Macaca fascicularis: one gene and its partners. The protein of the gene in region 1 interacts with the protein of each later gene in a pairwise test. Links are inferred from orthologs where the notes say so. Each region holds a gene or a part of one and is shown in the gene's direction. Other genes may lie near its edges. The genes, in order: PSMA3, ZNF366, FBXO7, DMC1 and AURKB.

The links.
Region 2: the proteins of PSMA3 (region 1) and ZNF366 interact in binary tests that used the Homo sapiens proteins (3 or more experiments, as listed by UniProt). The link is inferred for Macaca fascicularis from reciprocal best matches to the Homo sapiens genes PSMA3 and ZNF366.
Region 3: the proteins of PSMA3 (region 1) and FBXO7 interact in binary tests that used the Homo sapiens proteins (3 or more experiments, as listed by UniProt). The two-hybrid records come from large-scale screens. The link is inferred for Macaca fascicularis from reciprocal best matches to the Homo sapiens genes PSMA3 and FBXO7.
Region 4: the proteins of PSMA3 (region 1) and DMC1 interact in binary tests that used the Homo sapiens proteins (3 or more experiments, as listed by UniProt). The two-hybrid records come from large-scale screens. The link is inferred for Macaca fascicularis from reciprocal best matches to the Homo sapiens genes PSMA3 and DMC1.
Region 5: the proteins of PSMA3 (region 1) and AURKB interact in a two-hybrid assay, tested with the Homo sapiens proteins (2 studies listed by BioGRID and IntAct). The link is inferred for Macaca fascicularis from reciprocal best matches to the Homo sapiens genes PSMA3 and AURKB.

What each region holds. Positions count from the first base shown.
Region 1 is NC_088381.1:126,091,605-126,095,547, forward strand, and holds the start of PSMA3 (proteasome subunit alpha type-3), read left to right. Parts: upstream 1-1,133; 5' UTR 1,134-1,201; coding exon 1,202-1,222; intron 1,223-3,943. UniProt on the Homo sapiens protein: Component of the 20S core proteasome complex involved in the proteolytic degradation of most intracellular proteins. This complex plays numerous essential roles within the cell by associating with different regulatory particles.
Region 2 is NC_088380.1:76,382,503-76,386,019, reverse strand, and holds part of ZNF366 (zinc finger protein 366), read left to right. Parts: intron 1-757; coding exon 758-1,293; 3' UTR 1,294-3,517. UniProt on the Homo sapiens protein: Has transcriptional repression activity. Acts as a corepressor of ESR1; the function seems to involve CTBP1 and histone deacetylases.
Region 3 is NC_088384.1:19,139,346-19,142,862, reverse strand, and holds part of FBXO7 (F-box only protein 7), read left to right. Parts: intron 1-393; coding exon 394-535; intron 536-3,076; coding exon 3,077-3,160; intron 3,161-3,517. UniProt on the Homo sapiens protein: Substrate recognition component of a SCF (SKP1-CUL1-F-box protein) E3 ubiquitin-protein ligase complex which mediates the ubiquitination and subsequent proteasomal degradation of target proteins and plays a role in several biological processes such as cell cycle, cell proliferation, or maintenance of chromosome stability.
Region 4 is NC_088384.1:13,125,927-13,129,443, forward strand, and holds part of DMC1 (meiotic recombination protein DMC1/LIM15 homolog), read left to right. Parts: intron 1-1,703; coding exon 1,704-1,820; intron 1,821-3,517. UniProt on the Homo sapiens protein: Participates in meiotic recombination, specifically in homologous strand assimilation, which is required for the resolution of meiotic double-strand breaks.
Region 5 is NC_088390.1:8,284,839-8,288,193, reverse strand, and holds the end of AURKB (aurora kinase B), read left to right. Parts: intron 1-192; coding exon 193-387; intron 388-675; coding exon 676-814; coding exon of another isoform or gene 815-824; intron 825-924; coding exon 925-1,073; intron 1,074-2,185; coding exon 2,186-2,360; intron 2,361-2,531; coding exon 2,532-2,705; 3' UTR 2,706-2,841; downstream 2,842-3,355. UniProt on the Homo sapiens protein: Serine/threonine-protein kinase component of the chromosomal passenger complex (CPC), a complex that acts as a key regulator of mitosis.

The sequences.
Region 1 (3,943 bases):
CTTTAGCTATGAAGGACTTTATAGGGAAAATTACCCCCCAAAAAAAAGAAAGTTGATAGATCACAGTATTGCTAGTTTTCTAATTTTCACAATAATACTGTGTCTATGTAAAATAATGTTCCTGTGTTGGGGGGGAAATACACACTGACGTATTAATATTTAGGAGTAAAAAAAGGCTGATGCCCTATTTACAATCGGATTAAAATTCAAACCACTTCAAGATTTGCTGTCATGTGCACTTGTTCTCTTCCTGTCACTCTTCCCCACTTAATGAGGGGTCACTCTGACGTGACAGTTCCTAGCGCAAGCCAAGTTTTTTACTGTTCCCTCAACCACTCTTTTGTTATCCTATTTTAAATATCACTCACTTAGAAAGTCATTCCCTGAGCACACTGCCTAAAGTTAGTATCTCCATTCTCTATTAAAGCACTCTTCCTTCTTACTATTTTGCTTATTTATCGTTATCTATTTCTTCCTACTGAATGTAAATTCCATTAGAAACGGTGGTATGTTCTGTTTACAGCTTTTTCTTCAACACGTGGAATACATTAGCGCTCAATAAATATCTTTAATCAGACATATCTTTAACTCTACCAAAAAGCGTTATACTCATAGAAAGAGTACTAATACTTGTGTAAAATTCCAAGCTGAATTCAAAGACGATACCCTTGAAGCGAAACTTCCCGAGAGCCTGGCATAAGAAGGTGAGGTGGATGCCATCAAGATTCTAGGTCAGGATGGGGACGCGGAGGAAGACAGGTTACTTCGCCCCTACTGCTTTTTCTATTCTTTGTGAGTATACGAGCATCTCTCCCTTTTGCTTAAAGACAGAATACAGTGACGAGGAGGGAATAATAATATAAAAAGATAAATAATAATTCCTAGGAAAGGAATAGAGCAGCTTCTCAGATTAAACGACGCCAAAAACTCAAAGTACGTGAACTAAAGGCGGAGCCTTTGCTTTCCCCAACCCCGCCTCTATTGCTTCTGAACATGCGCGCCGCCAGCCTCTAGCGTCCCGCTTCTTTCCCACAATACTCCTGGTCCTGGGGGCCGGAGCCGCGGAACGAGCCACAGAGAAAAAGGTTATTGGTTGGCGATGCAGCCAATGAGCGGGTCTGTTACTAGTTTGCGGCATCCTGTGGTGTAGGGGCAGCGCTCTAGGCCTGGAATCCTTACGCGTCCCGTTGGGTTTAGCACGATGAGCTCCATCGGCACCGGGGTGAGTTTGCTGTCTCTGGGTGTGATAGTTTAACCTAAGGCTTGGGGTTGAAGGGAACTGGGACAGACCACAAGGGTTTCGCGGACCTGGGGTGCTCTAAGACCGCCTTCGGCTGGGTGGGCCACTTGCAGCTGTTTGGAGACCGGTCGTCTTTATCCCCTATATGCTAGGCCTGCGTCTCAGGTGACCATGACTCCTGAAGCTTTTCAGCCCAGGTGTAGCCGGCTTGGCGTCGCCGCGGTGAGGTTTGGAGCAGCTTTGGATTGCTGAGTCACTTTCTTCAGCCACTTAGGGAAACCGAAAGTGGAAACTCGTGGGGCTTGAAATAGTGTGTTCTCTTGAGAACCACCGAGGCAGTGAGATTTGAGATTCCACGGTCCGGAGATCGTGCTTTCTGTGGACTGCGTTTGCAGTTCCCAGGTTGCTGCTGATTCACGGGCCTTCTCTGTCTTTAAGTGTGCAGATCATCGACCGCTCAGTTTAAGAGTCACTGGAAACCCTGTCGGAACAGAACTAATAAAAATGATCTGAATAACTAAATCTGATGAATCCTTCAGTTTTTCCTTTGTCCTTGTTTTTCCTATACAAAGTACCTAACAGCACTTGTAGGCATTTATCCCGTAAACGTTTAAGTGGTTACTTAGGAACTTAACAGCTTCAGACTTTTGATAGACTGTTGAGGATTTTGCAGTGGGACTTGTTAACTTGTTTGGTTTTCCTTTGTTAAACGTATGTATATGTGCAGTTTACTCCTTTTATGTACTCTATATAGAAAATACAGTTTCTACAAGATTTATTGGTTATTTGCACTAGAGTTACTGAATAATGAGTTTCTCAGTTCCTCAATTTCTACTTAACAAGATTCTCATGCTCAGCCTTAAGTTCAAGTACTGGTGTTCTAAATTTGATAATAGGCAATTTATGTCTGGAATGGTTTAATCCATTCGGTTATGAATGCTAAAGTTCTGCCATACTTTTCTTAGATAAGTAAATGCTCAATAATAAATCTTGTAGCAAACTGACTTTGCAATTATATTATTACCTTCAATTAATAGTATTTCATTCTACAAACCTTTTAAAGAATACTTGATAATATAACCATGTGGGATATTTTAGTAACAATGGTAGGGTTAATGATCTGGGTTTAACAGATCAGGAGGCCGGGCGCGGTGGCTCAAGCCTGTAATCCCAGCACTTTGGGAGGCCGAGACGGGTGGATCACGAGGTCAGGAGATCGAGACCATCCTGGCTAACACGGTGAAACCCCGTCTCTACTAAAAAAATACAAAAAACTAGCCGGGCGAGGTGGTGGGCGCCTGTAGTCCCAGCTACTCGGGAGGCTGAGGCAGGAGAATGGCGTGAACCCGGGAGGCGGAGCTTGCAGTGAGCTGAGATCCGGCCACTGCACTCCAGCCTGGGCGACAGAGCGAGACTCCGAATCAAAAAAAAAAAAAAAAAAAAACAGATCAGGAAACAGACTCAGAAAGTACCACTGTTGAAGGCTTATCTTCTGTGTTCATTTCTCCCAAGAACTCCAGATATGAATAATTGTTTGTCTGCTTGACACGTCTGTCCACTTGATTGTTTATTTTGTACTGCATGTCAAAGTAGAGCTCTGGGTTTTCTCCTTACCTTGCCATTTTGCATCTACTACAGTCTTCAGCTCAGTGAATGGTCATATGAAAACATCTGTGATTCATCTTTAATTCCTTTTTTTACTTCCAGAACCAACGCTTTAGCAAGTTTTTTTTTTATTTTTTGAGATGGAGTCTTGCTCTGTCGCCAGGCTGGAGTGCAGTGGCACGATCTTGGCTCACTGCAACCTCCGCTTCCCAGTTCAAGCAATTCTCCTGTCTCAGCCTTCCGAGTAGCTGGGACTACAGGTGCACACCACCACGCCCAGCTAATTTTTGTATTTTTAGTAGAGACGAGGTTTCACCATGTTTGCCAGGATGGGCTCGATCTTTTGACCTCGTGATCAGCCTGCCTCGACCTGCCAAAGTGCTGGGATTACAGGAATGAGCCATCATGCCCGGCCTCGCAAGTTTATTTTTATTATTTTTATTTTTTTACTATACTCTGAAAAAGTATTCCCTTCTACCTCTTCTCTTGTCTAAGCTAGTACCACGATCTTTGGAACACCTCATCTTTGCTTCTGTTGTTCTCTCTAGAATTCATTTTCCACATAAAGCCAGAATGATGTTTTTTAAAATGTAGATCATACCACTCCCCCTGCTTAAATTCCTCGTTGCATTTAGAATAAAATACAAAGTCCTTATTGCAGCCTGGAAGACCCAACATAATTTGACCCACAGCTACCTCACTAACACAGTCTACTCTTCTTTCTGCTGCTTACAGTGCTCGGGACACAGTGACCTTACTTCTGTTTCTTGACTGTGCTAGCCTTATTTCTACCCTAAGATCTTTGTGCCAAATGCCAAGAAGGCTTTTCCTTCATATCTTAAATGGCTAGCTTCTTGTCATTTAGGTTTGACTCAGCCTAAATATTACTGCCCCAGAAGGCCTTCCCTGATGATGTAGTCTGTAGTAGTTCCTTCCATTGCTTTACTCTTTTATTTTCATCTTAGTGCCTTTTCTGATTTACTGCTGTATCTCTAGCACCTAGATTCATGTCTGATTTGAAATTGAAGGACTTAATGAATGAGTGATCACCTTTGTATTCCATGTAGTGGACTAACATAATAGATACTCATTAAGTGC
Region 2 (3,517 bases), on another chromosome or scaffold:
GGCCACAGTCCTGGCGTGGTGTCTGCTGCCCCAAATGGGATATCTTTGTTTTGTTCAAGATGAAAATGCCTTTATTATTGATTTACTTTTTTTATGATAAAACGTATGCTCATGGTAAAAAATAAAACAATAGTACATTAAAAGTGAAAAGAGAATGTTTGTTAATTTTAAGATTTTGACATACTTCTTCAAGGCATTTTTTGATAGAGATGGCTAGCTAGATAAAATCAGGTCTGCACTATAAATAAACACACACACACAAACTTACATATATATTTTGTTTTTACTTAAAATACATAGCAAATATCTTTTCGTGATCATTAGTAGGTCTCCACATCACCTATGCATGGTTCACTATATGGATATATCATTATTTATTTAACCAAACCTCTATTATTAAATACAAAAATTTTTCACAGTTTGACTGTGATAAAAAATATGGTGATATGCATCCATACACGTGTTTTGTGCACCTGCCTGCCTATTTTTTCAGTTTAAATTCTCAGTAGTATAATTGCTAAGTCAAAGCTTATTTTTAAAGCTTTCGGTGGATGTTGCCAAATTCACCTTAAAGGGATTAAACCAATGTGGACACTGCCTGTGACAAGCCTCCCATGACCACATCCTTACTGGGAATGATCTATTTGTAAAATACGCAATCAGAATACATTAAACGGCCCTGGGCTGCTCCCCTTCCTCAAGGTTCCGTTGCCCCAGCATTTCCTCAGGTGCATGAATTCTTACTCTGCTCTTGTAGGTCTGGGAAGGGGGAGAATCGCCCTGGCACAGACAGCCGGTGTCCTGAGGAGTCTGGAGCAGGAGGAGCCCTTTGACCTCTCTCAGAAGCACCGGGCCAAGGTGCCCATGTTCCAGTCAGACGGGGAGAGTGCCCAGGGCAGCCACTGCCATGAGGAGGAAGAGGAGGATAACTGCTACGAGGTGGAACCCTACAGCCCTGGCCTGGCACCCCAGAGCCAGCAGCTCTGCACACCCGAGGATCTGTCCACCAAGCCGGAGCATGCACCGGAGGTGCTGGAGGAAACCTGCAAGGAGGAGAAGGAGGATGCATCCAAGGAAGAATGGGAGGAGAGCAGCAAGGGCGACCTTGGGGCAGAGGGTGGCCAGGAGAGAGACTATGCAGGCAGAGATGAGTGTCTCAGCCTCAGGGCTTTTCAGAGTACCCGGCGGGGTCCCTCTTTTTCTGATTACTTATACTTCAAGCACAGAGATGAGAGTTTGAAAGAATTACTGGAGAGGAAAATGGAAAAACAAGCAGTGCTTTTAGGTATCTAAGTGGACAGTTTTAAAATTACATTTGGAAAATGAGAACGAGGCAGTTCAAATATAGCTTTCTGCATGAACTGTCATTTTCTGGAGACTGGCAAATAGTACCAATCTCTACAAATGGCTTAGACTAAATAAGCAGGGATGTAGGTAATGGAAAGCCTTCTCAGGTCATTCACGGGGCCCTTGATACCCTTCACACATGTGCAGGGTCTTCTTCAGTGGCGTTTGATGCATCGCCAGTATAATAAACTGTGAGTATTCTTCTAGATATCTAATCGTAAGCTGATGCTGAGGTGCTTTTAGAAATTCTACTTTCCTCTGATTTATATGCAATACATGGTAAATTTCTAATTGCAAAAATATGGTGCTTGAGGTGTCACCTTATTAATAACTAGGTGAATCCGTGAAGGTTATAATATTTTCCAGATAGATGAAAATATTAGTAGTTGTATATATTAAAATAGCCTTTATTCTATAACCAAACATGTCAGAAATGGCACAGGAGGATGAAATGCTGAAGAGAATGCTCTCGAGTAGTTGCTGCAGATATAAGGTAAAATTTCAGGAGAAGAATAATTTTGACTAAGGGAAACTGGTGACCTAGAATACTTAGATTTTCTTGTTCTATGTTGGCTGTCTTCATCAGATTGAGCATTTGGAGCATTTTTTTTTCAGATGATCTGATGATGTTCAGGGTCCTGGTTCCTCAGACAAACCCCCACTTCTGAAGCAGAGCTCCCTCCTGGAGACCATTGCTGTCTTGCTCTGAGGCCTCATGCCGCATAAGACAGAGGCAGGGGCCGGGCGCAGTGGCTCACGCCTGTAATCCCAGCACTTTGGGAGGCCGAGGCAGGCAGATCACTTGAGGTCAGGAGTTTGAGACCAACCTGGCCAACGTGGTGAAACCCCATCTCTACTAAAAATACAAAATTTAGTCAGGCGTGATGGCGGATGCCTGTAGTTCCAGCTACTCAGGAGGTTGAGGCAGGAGAATCGCTTGAACCCAGGAGGTGGAGGTTGCAGTGAGCTGAGATCATGCCACCGCACTACAGCCTGGGTGACAGAGTGAGTCTCTGCCTCAAAAAAAAAAAAAAAAAAAAAAAAAAAAAAGGACAGATGCAGGAAGAGTTGTCACCAGTGACCAGGGGGTTTCTCCTCAGAGCTAGAGCTGGGGGGTGACCTCAGAGAATTCTCCCAGAAATCTAACCTCTGACTTATTTGGGTTACTAGAATAGTTGACAGCTAATCATAAGTAAAGAAAACTCTGGACTATGTTCTCAGTGCTGGCTGTACATTGGAATCATCTGGGGTGACCTTTGAAAAAAAGACACCAAACCAAGGCCTCACCCATTAAGATTCTGATTTAATTGATCTGGAGTGGAGCCCCAGGACTGGAATTTTCCAGATTGCTCCAGGCAATTCTTATGTGCAATTTCCGAGATTGAGAAGATTGAGGGGACTAAAATAGAACTCACCATTTCTGTGGCTTCCAGGACACTTCCCAGAGACTTCATAAGTATTTCTGTTCCTAGCCTCAGACTCTTTAAGGTTGAGAACAGGAGACCTCACAATCATACTGCTGACTTAGGCCTTCTTACCTGTCTGTAAGAGCCATATGAGTGGACACACACTCTCTCTATATAGGCACACACTTTTGACATTATACTAGAAGATGATGCCTGTGATGTTTATGGTCACTTACTATGTTGAAAAATGCATGGCTGGCCTATGGTGACCCATTATCTCTTCCCAGACTCTTGAACCATGATGCCAGTGAGTGGAAATGACTCTACTGGGTGGGATGGGCCCAGCAGGTCGGCCTTACTTAGGCACTGGCACTGAGAAAAGCAATACTGACCGGGTGTCATGTACGTGTGACTGCCCATAGCAATAACCCTCTGGTACTGTGTCTGTTTATGTAAAAACCTCTTGTTTGGTAGTTTTGACTCTTATTTGTAGAGCTAGGTACTGGTTATTATTGTGCTTCATCCTATCCCAGACTTCCCAATACATTCCTTTAGAAGACATGTCCATCTCCAACTGTTGGAGGCTGGCCTTTTCTGTAGGCCAAGGTTTGCTTCATTAGCCCCACCTGGTTGTCATCACTCACCTGTGTGTTGTGTCCATCTCTGACCCATTTCCCCTGCCATCTTGCCTAAAGCTTCTCCTGTCAGACTCCCCACCACCATGAAGTGCTAAGAGTACTGTGTCCTGAGGTAAGGGCACCTGC
Region 3 (3,517 bases), on another chromosome or scaffold:
GTAATGGAAATATGAATAGACTGTTAGGGGACGAAAGGAAATGGCAAAAAATTTTTCTTTGAAAAAGGCTTTACAGAGGAAGTGATATTTGATTATTTTGGAGTTTTAAATAATCATATGGTTTTGCTAGGCAGAGAAGTGAGTCTTGGAAGAGAGAGATCAATCCCTGTTTCCATATTGCAATTTTACCTGTTTGAACAAAAATTTTGATTAAAAGTGTTGTAATATATTATCCTACAATATAAAATATAATGGCAATATTAATGATGCATTGTATTAAGAGGACTATGTGGAATGATTATTTCAAACAAGTTAGGAGTCTTTTGGATTTTTAATCTTTTTGAGAGTAACACCTTTCTTCATTATTTGTTTCCCTTTCATTTCGTTCCCCAGGGCACCGAAGCCAAAGCACTGTCCATGCCGGAGAAGTGGAAGTTGAGCGGGGTGTATAAGCTGCAGTACATGCATCCTCTCTGTGAGGGCAGCTCCGCTACTCTCACCTGTGTGCCTCTGGGAAACCTGATTGTTGTAAATGGTAATTGAATAGCATAGTCATGGTTGCTCGTTTATGGATTCTTAGACGTTTCTTTCCAAATGTTTTATAGCCACTTCAGTGATTGGCTATCATGATACAGTTGTGAGTCCTTCTCAACTTTATTGAATTCCTAGACCACTGATAACATGTGTCTGGAAGATTATAGAGTAAGAGGTTGTTGGGTTGTTTAGGCCAGCACCCTTCACTCTTAGGGCATCCATTTTCTTGATGTCTTAATCTTTGTAATATTTTGCTCTGGGGGGTAATATTTAATATTATCCAATATTATCAATATTTGATAATATGAGTGAAATGAGCCTATTATACATGAACTCTTTGGAGAATACTTTTTCTTTATCCCTGTGGATGGCTTTATTTTTTTAACGAAGGTCTTGAACTGAGACATGGGGAACTAGAGCTGGGGTCACCATTTATCCAAGTTCGCATCTCTGTGGCCAGCAGTGCACAACAACAATGCTAAGTTTACTGAGGCCTTAGTAAGTGTGTGTTTTATTTACTGGGCCTCCCCCAACAAATGTCACTCTGCATAAATAACTTTTCCTGTCTCCTTTTTCATATTAATAAATTTCACTGGAATAGCAAGGCATTCCATCTTTGTGTTTTAGTTCAGATACCACTTTGGTTCATATCAACTCCTAGTAGTCTATCATAATCACACATCCTGGAGATCCATTTGAATGACTAGGAGCTTTCATTTTTATTCTGTTTTGTTTTTTGAGGTTTATCCTTTTAGTTAGAAAGATAGTGTGGCAAGATTGGGAGGGCTGCATTTGTTGTTTTGTTTATTCAGTATAGCTCATCTTTTTTGTTTAGCAAAGGAAGTTGCTTTGGTAAGCCTTAGGTCAAAGGTTTAGGTCAGGTTTTCAGTATGTTCTGCAGCTGCTCCTTTGCCTAGATGAAAGTTAGGTAGAAGCCTTATCACCACTTAAAAGCAGCAAAATGTTTATCTGTTTCATTTATTGAAGTTTTGTGTGAGATTCTGTTTGAAAAAAATGGTGGTGGTTTTTTTTTCCTGCTAAAATCTATTTTGAAAGCTACTGACTTATGCTGTCTTGATCTTTGAGATGTTGGATAGTTCTCATTCCCCTCTTACGAAGTTTCTTTTTCTTTTTCTTTTTTTTTTTTTTGAGACAAGGTCTTGCTCTGTCACCTAGGCTGGAGTGCAGTAGCCAGAGCATGGATCATTGCATCCTTGACCTCCTGGGCTCAAGCGGTGTTCCTCCTTGGCCTCCTGAGTAGCTAGGACCACAGGCGTGTACCACCACACCTGGCTATTTTTTATTTATATTCTGTAGAGATGAAGTCTCACTGTGTTGCCCAGCCTGGTCTCGAACTCCTGGGTTCAAGCAGTATTCCTGCCTTGACCTCCCAAAGGGCTGGGATTACAGGTGTGAACCACGCCTGGCCTCTTAAGAAATTTCTATTTCTTTAGTCATAAGATTCTTTGAAATGTTATTTAAAAGTCTCAAAACGTTAGGTTTTAATAGCTTTGGTGGTACTTCACGTTTGTCAGGACATGACTGTCTGATGACACTAGGACCTAGCAATGTCTATTCAGCAGTTCATCATAATTAGCAAATGTAGCTTTTAGTCTGGCATTCTTGTACACAGAGTGTCAACAGTTTCTGCCTTCCTCTCATCATTCTGCTACATCACATCATAACTTGCAAGGTTGAAGTTACCAAATAGTAAATGTGTAGTTGCAAATTTTGCCTTGATTTCTTATAAAAGCACTTAATGACATGTATAATAACCTCTATTCATTAGATTCAGAATACTTAATATAAAAAGAATAACTACTGAATGTCTTGATGATTTCTTAATTTCTCATACTTTGTTTCTTTACTGTTCTTGGCAAATCAGCTCTTGGCAGACTTGCATGGCAGCCAGCCATTCCAGGATTGATTATTTGAAAAGAGCAGTGTGTCTTTAAATCTTTCCTTCACTCCAGGCATCCTGCTTGGTGCACATGTGCATAAGCACATCACTGGGCTCTTTCATGGAATGAGTTGAAGTGCGCCTTTGTATACATGATTAAAATTGAACCCTCTGGTGATGTCAAGAATATTGGTCCTTTGGGTCTGGAAGAGAGATGATGCTCTGAAAACTAGCAAGATTATTTTAATGAACAAGGGAAGACTCATTGCCAAGGGTTAAATAAAAGATAAATGGAGTTTTTAGTGACTTCATTAGAAATAATGATTTTATTGTGTTTAGTTGCCTCTGATTAGCCTTGTTGTGTATCTTTCAATTACTAATAAGCTGCTGCCTAGTAGATTTTATATAAAGATGCTTACTGTAGTTTTTAAAGGTGGTGTTGTAGAGTGATTTTACTTCATGTGATGCCAGGTTTACACTTTTGAACTTGCTGTCAGAGAAAGAAATAGGCGAAGAACAGTTTGTTTTATATAATGTGTCCTTAGTATATTAGGAGCAAGGAAATGCAAGCCCATACTAAAAAAGAAAGGCAGTTGATGAAGTGACAGAATTTTTTATCATCTTTCTTATGTTTATTTACAGCTACACTGAAAATCAACAATGAGATTAGAAGTGTGAAAAGATTGCAGCTGCTACCAGAATCTTTTATTTGCAAAGAGAAACTAGGTAATATAAACATTATTTAACTTTTGGAGTGAAACTCTGTGAAATTCGTGTAAGAAAAAAATCTGAAAGATAATGTTCAAAAGACAGAAAATTTCTATGTGAGATTAAAGCATATGTAAGATAATGTGGTTTGCTTAAGAATGCAAAGGTTTAAAAAATGCGAAAGTTTTGCTTATAATTTGAGGAGTTTGTTTCTTTCCTGTTTTTCTTAGGGTCATAGAGTGCTGAATTATATTGTTATGAGATAACACTAGTATGTAATTTATTACAGTCTGATGATAGTTCATAGTTTCTGTACTAATCTTTGGAGATCTCTCTGGTATCATATTTAACCAATATAGAGATCTGTGTTTCATG
Region 4 (3,517 bases), on another chromosome or scaffold:
CCCAGGCTGGAGTGACTGGAGTGCAGTGGCACAATCACGACTCACCGCAGCCTCAACTTCCTGGACTCGAGAGATCTTCCTGCGTCAGCCTCCTGAGTAGTCAGGACTACAGGCACGCACCACCCTGCCCAGCTAATTTTTGTATTTTTTTGTAGAGATGGGGTTTTACCATGTTGTCCAGATTGGTCTTGAACTCCTGGGCTCAAGGGATCCACCTGCCGCAGCCTCCCAAAGGGCTGGGATTACAGGCGTGAGCCACTGTGCCCAGCCTCATTCCTATATGTTTTCTTTGCCCTTTTGCAAATGCTATAATTTATTTCCCCATTCGGGTGATTCAAAATCATCTCCTTTTGGAAATAGTGTTCTTAACATTCAGGCTCTTCACCTACAGTAATGACAAACAATTGTCTCTATTCTTTTTTGCACATCGGGTACCACACTAGTAACAGCGAACAATAGTTTGCTAAGAAGAAAAATCATGACTACACATCTAGAAGCTCTAGCTTCCCAGTCTTGTTTAGGTTATCTATAATGGCATGGGAGGCATGGTGCTTCAACTGGGGGAATCTATCTTCTTTTATATTTGCCTCTGTCAGAACACTCTTCAAAAGTTCCCTGAATTGCAGTTTTGAAGATATGACACAAATCTGTGTCCAAGAAGGACCTAGACTAGGGAGTCCCAAATTGTCATCTCTGTATTTATTCCACAATATTTATGGAGTGCCCTGTATAGTATAGGCACTTTTCCAGGCACTGGAGTTTCAAAGATGAACAGAGATTTAGAGTATAGTTGGGGAATAAGACCCATACATTTAAAATTACCATGTAGTGTGCTTTATTATTTATTTATTTATTTATTTATTTATTTTTTGAGACGGAGTCTCGCTTTTGTTACCCAGGCTGGAATGCAATGGCGCCATCTCGGCTCACCACAACCTCCACCTCCCAGGTTCAAGCGATTCTCCTGCCTCAGCCTCCTGAGTAGCTGGGATTACAGGCATGTGCCACCACACCCAGCTAATTTTGTATTTTTGGTAGAGACAGGGTTTCTCCATGTTGGTCAAGCTGATCTTGAACTCCCAACCTCAGGTGATCCGCCCGCCTCGGCCTCCCAAAGTGGTGGGGTTACAGGCGTGAGCCACCTCACCCGGCCAGTAATCTCATTTTTAAAAGTCAGGCTGGGCGTGGTGGCTTGCGCTTGTAACCCCAGCACTTTGGGAGGCCGAGGCAGGCAGATCATGAGGTCAGGAGTTCAAGACCAGCCTGGCCAACACAGTGAAACCTTGGCTCTACTAAAAATGCAAAAAATTAGCTGGGCATGGTGGTGGGCGCCTGTAATCCCAGCTACCTGGGAGGCTGAGGCAGGAGAATTTCTTGAACCCAGGAGGCAGAGGTTGCAGTGAGCGAGAGCACACCACTGCACTCCAGCCTGGGCGACAGAGCTAGACTCCATCTCAAAAAAAAAGGAAAAAGTCAAACAAAATATAAACTATCATAGGAATCTCAGAAGCCTAGACTAGATGAGGTATATAGCAGCTCCAAAACTCACCCCACTCCTTAGTTTATGAACAAGCCTCTGCTTGTTTAGAATATACACTTACTCCAACTCCTGACATCCACCACAGAAAGGTTGCCTTGTAATGGCAGATATTGCCATATATAGTCCATATGATGAAACCTGAAAAGGTATTTTATTAATTCAGCTTTCAGGCAGATCCCAAAAAACCCATTGGGGGACACATTCTGGCTCATGCTTCAACAACAAGAATAAGCTTGCGAAAGGGAAGAGGAGAGCTCAGAATTGCCAAGATTTATGATAGGTAATTTTTTTTTTATTCTTTGTGTGTGTGTGTGTGTGTGTGTGTGTGTGTGTGTGTGTAGAGACGGGGTTTTGCCATGTTGCCCAAGCTGGTCTCAAACTCCTAGGCTCAAGCAGTTCTCCCACCTTGGCCACCCAAAGTGTTGTGACTATAGGTGTGAGCCACCGCAAGGCTATAATTATTACTGGCAGATGCTGTGTATTTGAATTTCCTTATAAAAAAAAGTATTCAATTTATTGGGAAGTCCCTACTGTGTGCTAGGTACTAGGGATTGAGGAATTCTGTTGACACGTTGACTTGCTCCCTGACCTTTCAAAGCATACACCTAGATAATGAAATCATCAATTCCAATTAAAGTGTAGTAAGTGCAAGGTAAGTATCAAGTATTTTTGCCAAGTTAACTCCATTTGTTTTTCAGGTTTCAGTTTAAACATCACTTTCTCGGGGAACCTTTCCCTAACCCTTACAGTCTAGGTTACTCAGTATATTATATGCTATATTCTTTCTCAGCACTTTATGTGTTTAATTAAGAATTACAGATTTTGGCCCGGCACAGTGGCTCACACCTGTAATCCTAGTACTTTGGGAGGCCAAGGTGGGCGGATCACCTGAGGCCAGGAGTTTGAGACCAGCCTGGCCAACACGGTGGAACACCATCTCTACTAAAACTACAAAAATTAGCCGGACGTGGTGGCAGGCGCCTGTAATCCCAACTACTCAGTAGGCTGAGGCAGGAGAATTGCTTGAACCCGGGAGGCGGAGGTTGCAGTGAGCCAAGATCGTGGCACTGCACTCCAGCCTGGGCAACAGAGCAAAACTCTGTCTTAAAAAAATAAAAAATACAAAATTTAAAAAAATAAAGAATTACAGATTTAATAAATTTTTACAGAGAAAAACTACTACATGTTAACTGTTCTAGGTTCTTGGGATAAAGCAGTGAACAAAACAAAAAGACTAGTTCATGCCCTCAAGGAACGTACTTTCATTTTATTGGTAATGATTTGTATAACATATGTCATCCCCTCTAGATAGTAATCCTAAGGGTTTGCTTCCTCACCGGTGTATTCCCAGTTCCTGGGACATGGTAGATGTGTCATATTTGTGACTGACTGATCAACCCCAAGCCACAAAGCAAAGATTTGCAGTAACTCTAGGGTAGCCTAGAGAGGGAAAAGCTGCTCCCTGAAGATCAGATGAGCTCTTAATCTGGTGTTTGCTATGAATCACAATAGTACTTATTATGTATTATTATTGAATAAATATTAAATAATCAGTTCCCCCATCTATCTAAGATGGTTTTTGTTCCAACCATTTTGTTTTTCACCATCTGTCTCTGTTAAAGATTATAATACATAAATGTTACATTTTTGTTGTTGTTGCTGTTGTTGTTGTTTTGTTTGTTTGTTTGGAGATGGAGTCTCGCTCTGTCGCCCAGGCTGGAGTGCAGTGGTGCGATCTCGGCTCACTGCAAGCTCTGCCTCCCAGTTCATGCCATTCTCCTGCCTCAGCCTCCCAAGTAGCTGGGACTACAGGCACCCACCACCACGCCCAGCTAATTTTTTTGTATTTTTAGTAGAGAAGGGGTTTCACTGTGTTAGCCAGGATAGTCTTGATCGCTTGACCTCGTGATCTGCCCGCCTCAGCCTCCCAAAGTGCTGGGATTACAGGTATGAGCCACCGCGCCTGGCCTGTTGTTG
Region 5 (3,355 bases), on another chromosome or scaffold:
CCCAAGCCTTGGGGTGGAGGGAGGTGAGGGGACAGTGAATGGGCAGGAAGTCGGGAAGATAAAACCTAAGGGCAGGAGGAGTAGAGATGAAGAGAAGTGGGGCGGGGGACAGGATGAGATGAGGAAGCGGAGAGAAAGCAAACCTCTTAATAACCAAAACCGGTTCTGAGTTGCCTTCCCCCACTTTCTAAGCAGGCGGCACTTCACAATTGATGACTTTGAGATTGGGCGTCCTCTGGGCAAAGGCAAGTTTGGAAACGTGTACTTGGCTCGGGAGAAGAAAAGCCATTTCATCGTGGCGCTCAAGGTCCTCTTCAAGTCCCAGATAGAGAAGGAGGGCGTGGAGCATCAGCTGCGCAGAGAGATCGAAATCCAGGCCCACCTGCAGTATGGGTTGATGCCCCCTGAGCCGAAGCCCCTCTGCTCCCTCACCCCAGCTCCTCACTCAGCCCTACCTCATCCAGATTGCGTTCTCTGTAGCTACGGCTAGTGAGCCCCATTTAGCCCTTAGTCCTGGCCAGAGCCTTGAATCCAGAAATCTGCCTCCAGTTTCCCCTTCCCACTCCCATTCCTGGTGTCCCCAGCCTGGGCCCCGTCTGACCCCAGTTTGCTCCTATTATCTTTCCCAGCTCTTTTATGCCTTTGGCCTGAGGCTTCCTCTGTCTCTTCCCTCAGCCATCCCAACATCCTGCGTCTTTACAACTATTTTTACGACCGGAGGAGGATCTACTTGATTCTAGAGTATGCGCCCCGCGGGGAGCTCTACAAGGAGCTGCAGAAGAGCCGCACATTTGACGAGCAGCGAACAGCCACGGTCCGGGCGGGTGGGCACCTGGGCCGCCAGTAGGGGGCTGGAGGCTGAGGGTGTGCTGCTTGTAGCTGGAGGTCCATCCTTGTCTGATTGCCTGTCGTTGCCCCTCCCAGATCATGGAGGAGTTGGCAGATGCTCTGATGTACTGCCACGGGAAGAAGGTGATTCACAGAGACATAAAGCCAGAGAATCTGCTCTTAGGGCTCAAGGGAGAGCTGAAGATTGCTGACTTTGGCTGGTCTGTGCATGCGCCCTCCCTGAGGTATGGTGGCCTGGGAGGCCAGCCCTGGGTGTGAGGCGGGGCCATTAAAACCTCTCCAGGGGCTGGGCGTGCTGGCTCACGCCTGTAATACCCGCACTTTGGGAGGCTGAGGCGGGCGGATCACCTGAGGTCAGGAGTTCGAAACTAGCTTTGCCAACATGCTGAAACCTTGTCTCTACTAAATATACAAAAATTAGCCGGGCATGGTGGCGGACACCAGTAATCCCAGCTACTCGGGAGGCTGAGGCGGGAGAATTGTTTGAACCTGGGAGGCGGAGGTTGCAGTGAGCCAAGATTGCGCCATTGCACTCCAGCCTGGACGGCAGAGTGAGACTCCTCTAAAAAAAAACAAACAAAATGGTTAGAATGTGGTGCTAAGAACCCCAAGGTCATGGGTTTGATCCCCGTATGAGCCAATGGTAAAACTTTAGCCAGGTGCGGTGGCTCACGCCTGCTAATCCCAGCACTTTGGGAGGCCAAGGCAGGTGGATCACTTGAGGCCAGGAGTTCAAGGCTAGCGGACTAGCCTGGCCAACATGGCGAAACCCCATCGTTACTAAAAATACAAAATGTATTAAGCAGACATGGAGGTGCACACTTGCAATCCCAGCTGTGCGGGAGGCTGAGACACGAGAATCACTTGAATCCGGGAGGCAAAGGTTGCAGTGAGCCAAGATCGCCCCCTTGCACTCCAGCCTGGACTCTGTCTCAAAAAAGCCCGGAGCAGTGGCCTTTTTTCCTCCCACATCATTTTTTAACGGTTTCATAGTATCACATAGTAGCTGATTTATTTAAGCAGAACATGCCTGATGGGCATTAGAGATGTCCCCAGTGAACTCCAAAATGAACTCCAAATGAACACTGCCCTCATAGCGGAGTATCTCATTAAGACATATCCTTCAGCGTGGAGTTGCTGGGGCTGTGTGCAGGCTTACCTCTGGGGCTTTCAGATATGTCATCACCCCAACCCCACCCCCACTCCAGTAACCCTGCCTGGCTGGACCTCTCCCCTGGTACCTCCCGTGGTCTTTTGGCTCCCTGCCATCAGGTAGCAGGGAAAGGAGAGTTCCTATGTCACTGGGACCCCTGCCCACGCCCCTTATCCCTCCCAGGAGGAAGACAATGTGTGGCACCCTGGACTACCTGCCCCCAGAGATGATTGAGGGGCGCACACACAACGAGAAGGTGGATCTGTGGTGCATTGGAGTGCTTTGCTATGAGTTGCTGGTGGGAAACCCACCATTTGAGAGCGCATCACACAACGAGACCTATCGGCGCATCGTCAAGGTGGGAGGGCGGCCTGGGCTTCGTGCCAGCTGCAGAGGCCAGGGGCTGGGGGGCTGGGGGTGGGCAGAGTGTATCCGCGTGGCCCTAAGTAACTCCAGACAGAATGGGTAGTCAAGGAAGATGTAGCCAGGGTGAAAGTAATGCAGCCCTTCCATCTCTTCACACCTGCAGGTGGACCTAAAGTTCCCCGCTTCTGTGCCCACGGGAGCCCAGGACCTCATCTCTAAACTGCTCAGGCATAACCCCTCGGAACGGCTGCCCCTGGCCCAGGTCTCAGCCCACCCCTGGGTCCGGGCCAACTCTCGGAGGGTGCTGCCTCCCTCTGCCCTTCAATCTGTTGCCTGATGGTCCCTGTCATTCACTGGGGTGTGTCTGTGTTTTGTATGTTTGTGTATGTATAGGGGAAAGAAGGGATCCTGAACTGTTCCCTTATCTGTCTTCTACCTCCTCCTTTGTTTAATAAAGGCTGAAGCTTTTTGTACTGATGAGTGTAGATGTTTCTAGGTGGAGGCTTTGCTGTGGAGGAAGCTGTTCCCTAGAAGGAGAGGTGGCTCACCCTGAGGAGCTGGGATGAGCATTGCTTTGCTATCCCTGGTAACACCCTACCCTCTCAGCTCTGACACCCACCTGGTCAGCTCCCAGCCACCCCCACCCCTACCCCCACTTTCACCTCTACCCTGTCTGTTCTTTCCATTGTTCTGACTCCCAGAGCCCGGGGGCACTGGGGGCCCTGGCTCCCCATTGCTACATTGGAACACCAGCCATCTCTGGCCACCTTCTTTCACCTCTCTCTTGGTTGTCCAACTTCTAGTTTTTCCTTTTCTGTTTCATTCTCTGCCCCTTTGCCAGCGTAGGAGCAGCTGAACAATTCTGTACCCTAGAAACTGTCTTTGATTCTTTTACTGCTCTGGTCAGGATCTAGTACAGGAGCCAATAGAAGCAGTAGTGATTCTGTCTTGTTCCTGACACAAGGTTTCACTGTCATGTATGATGCT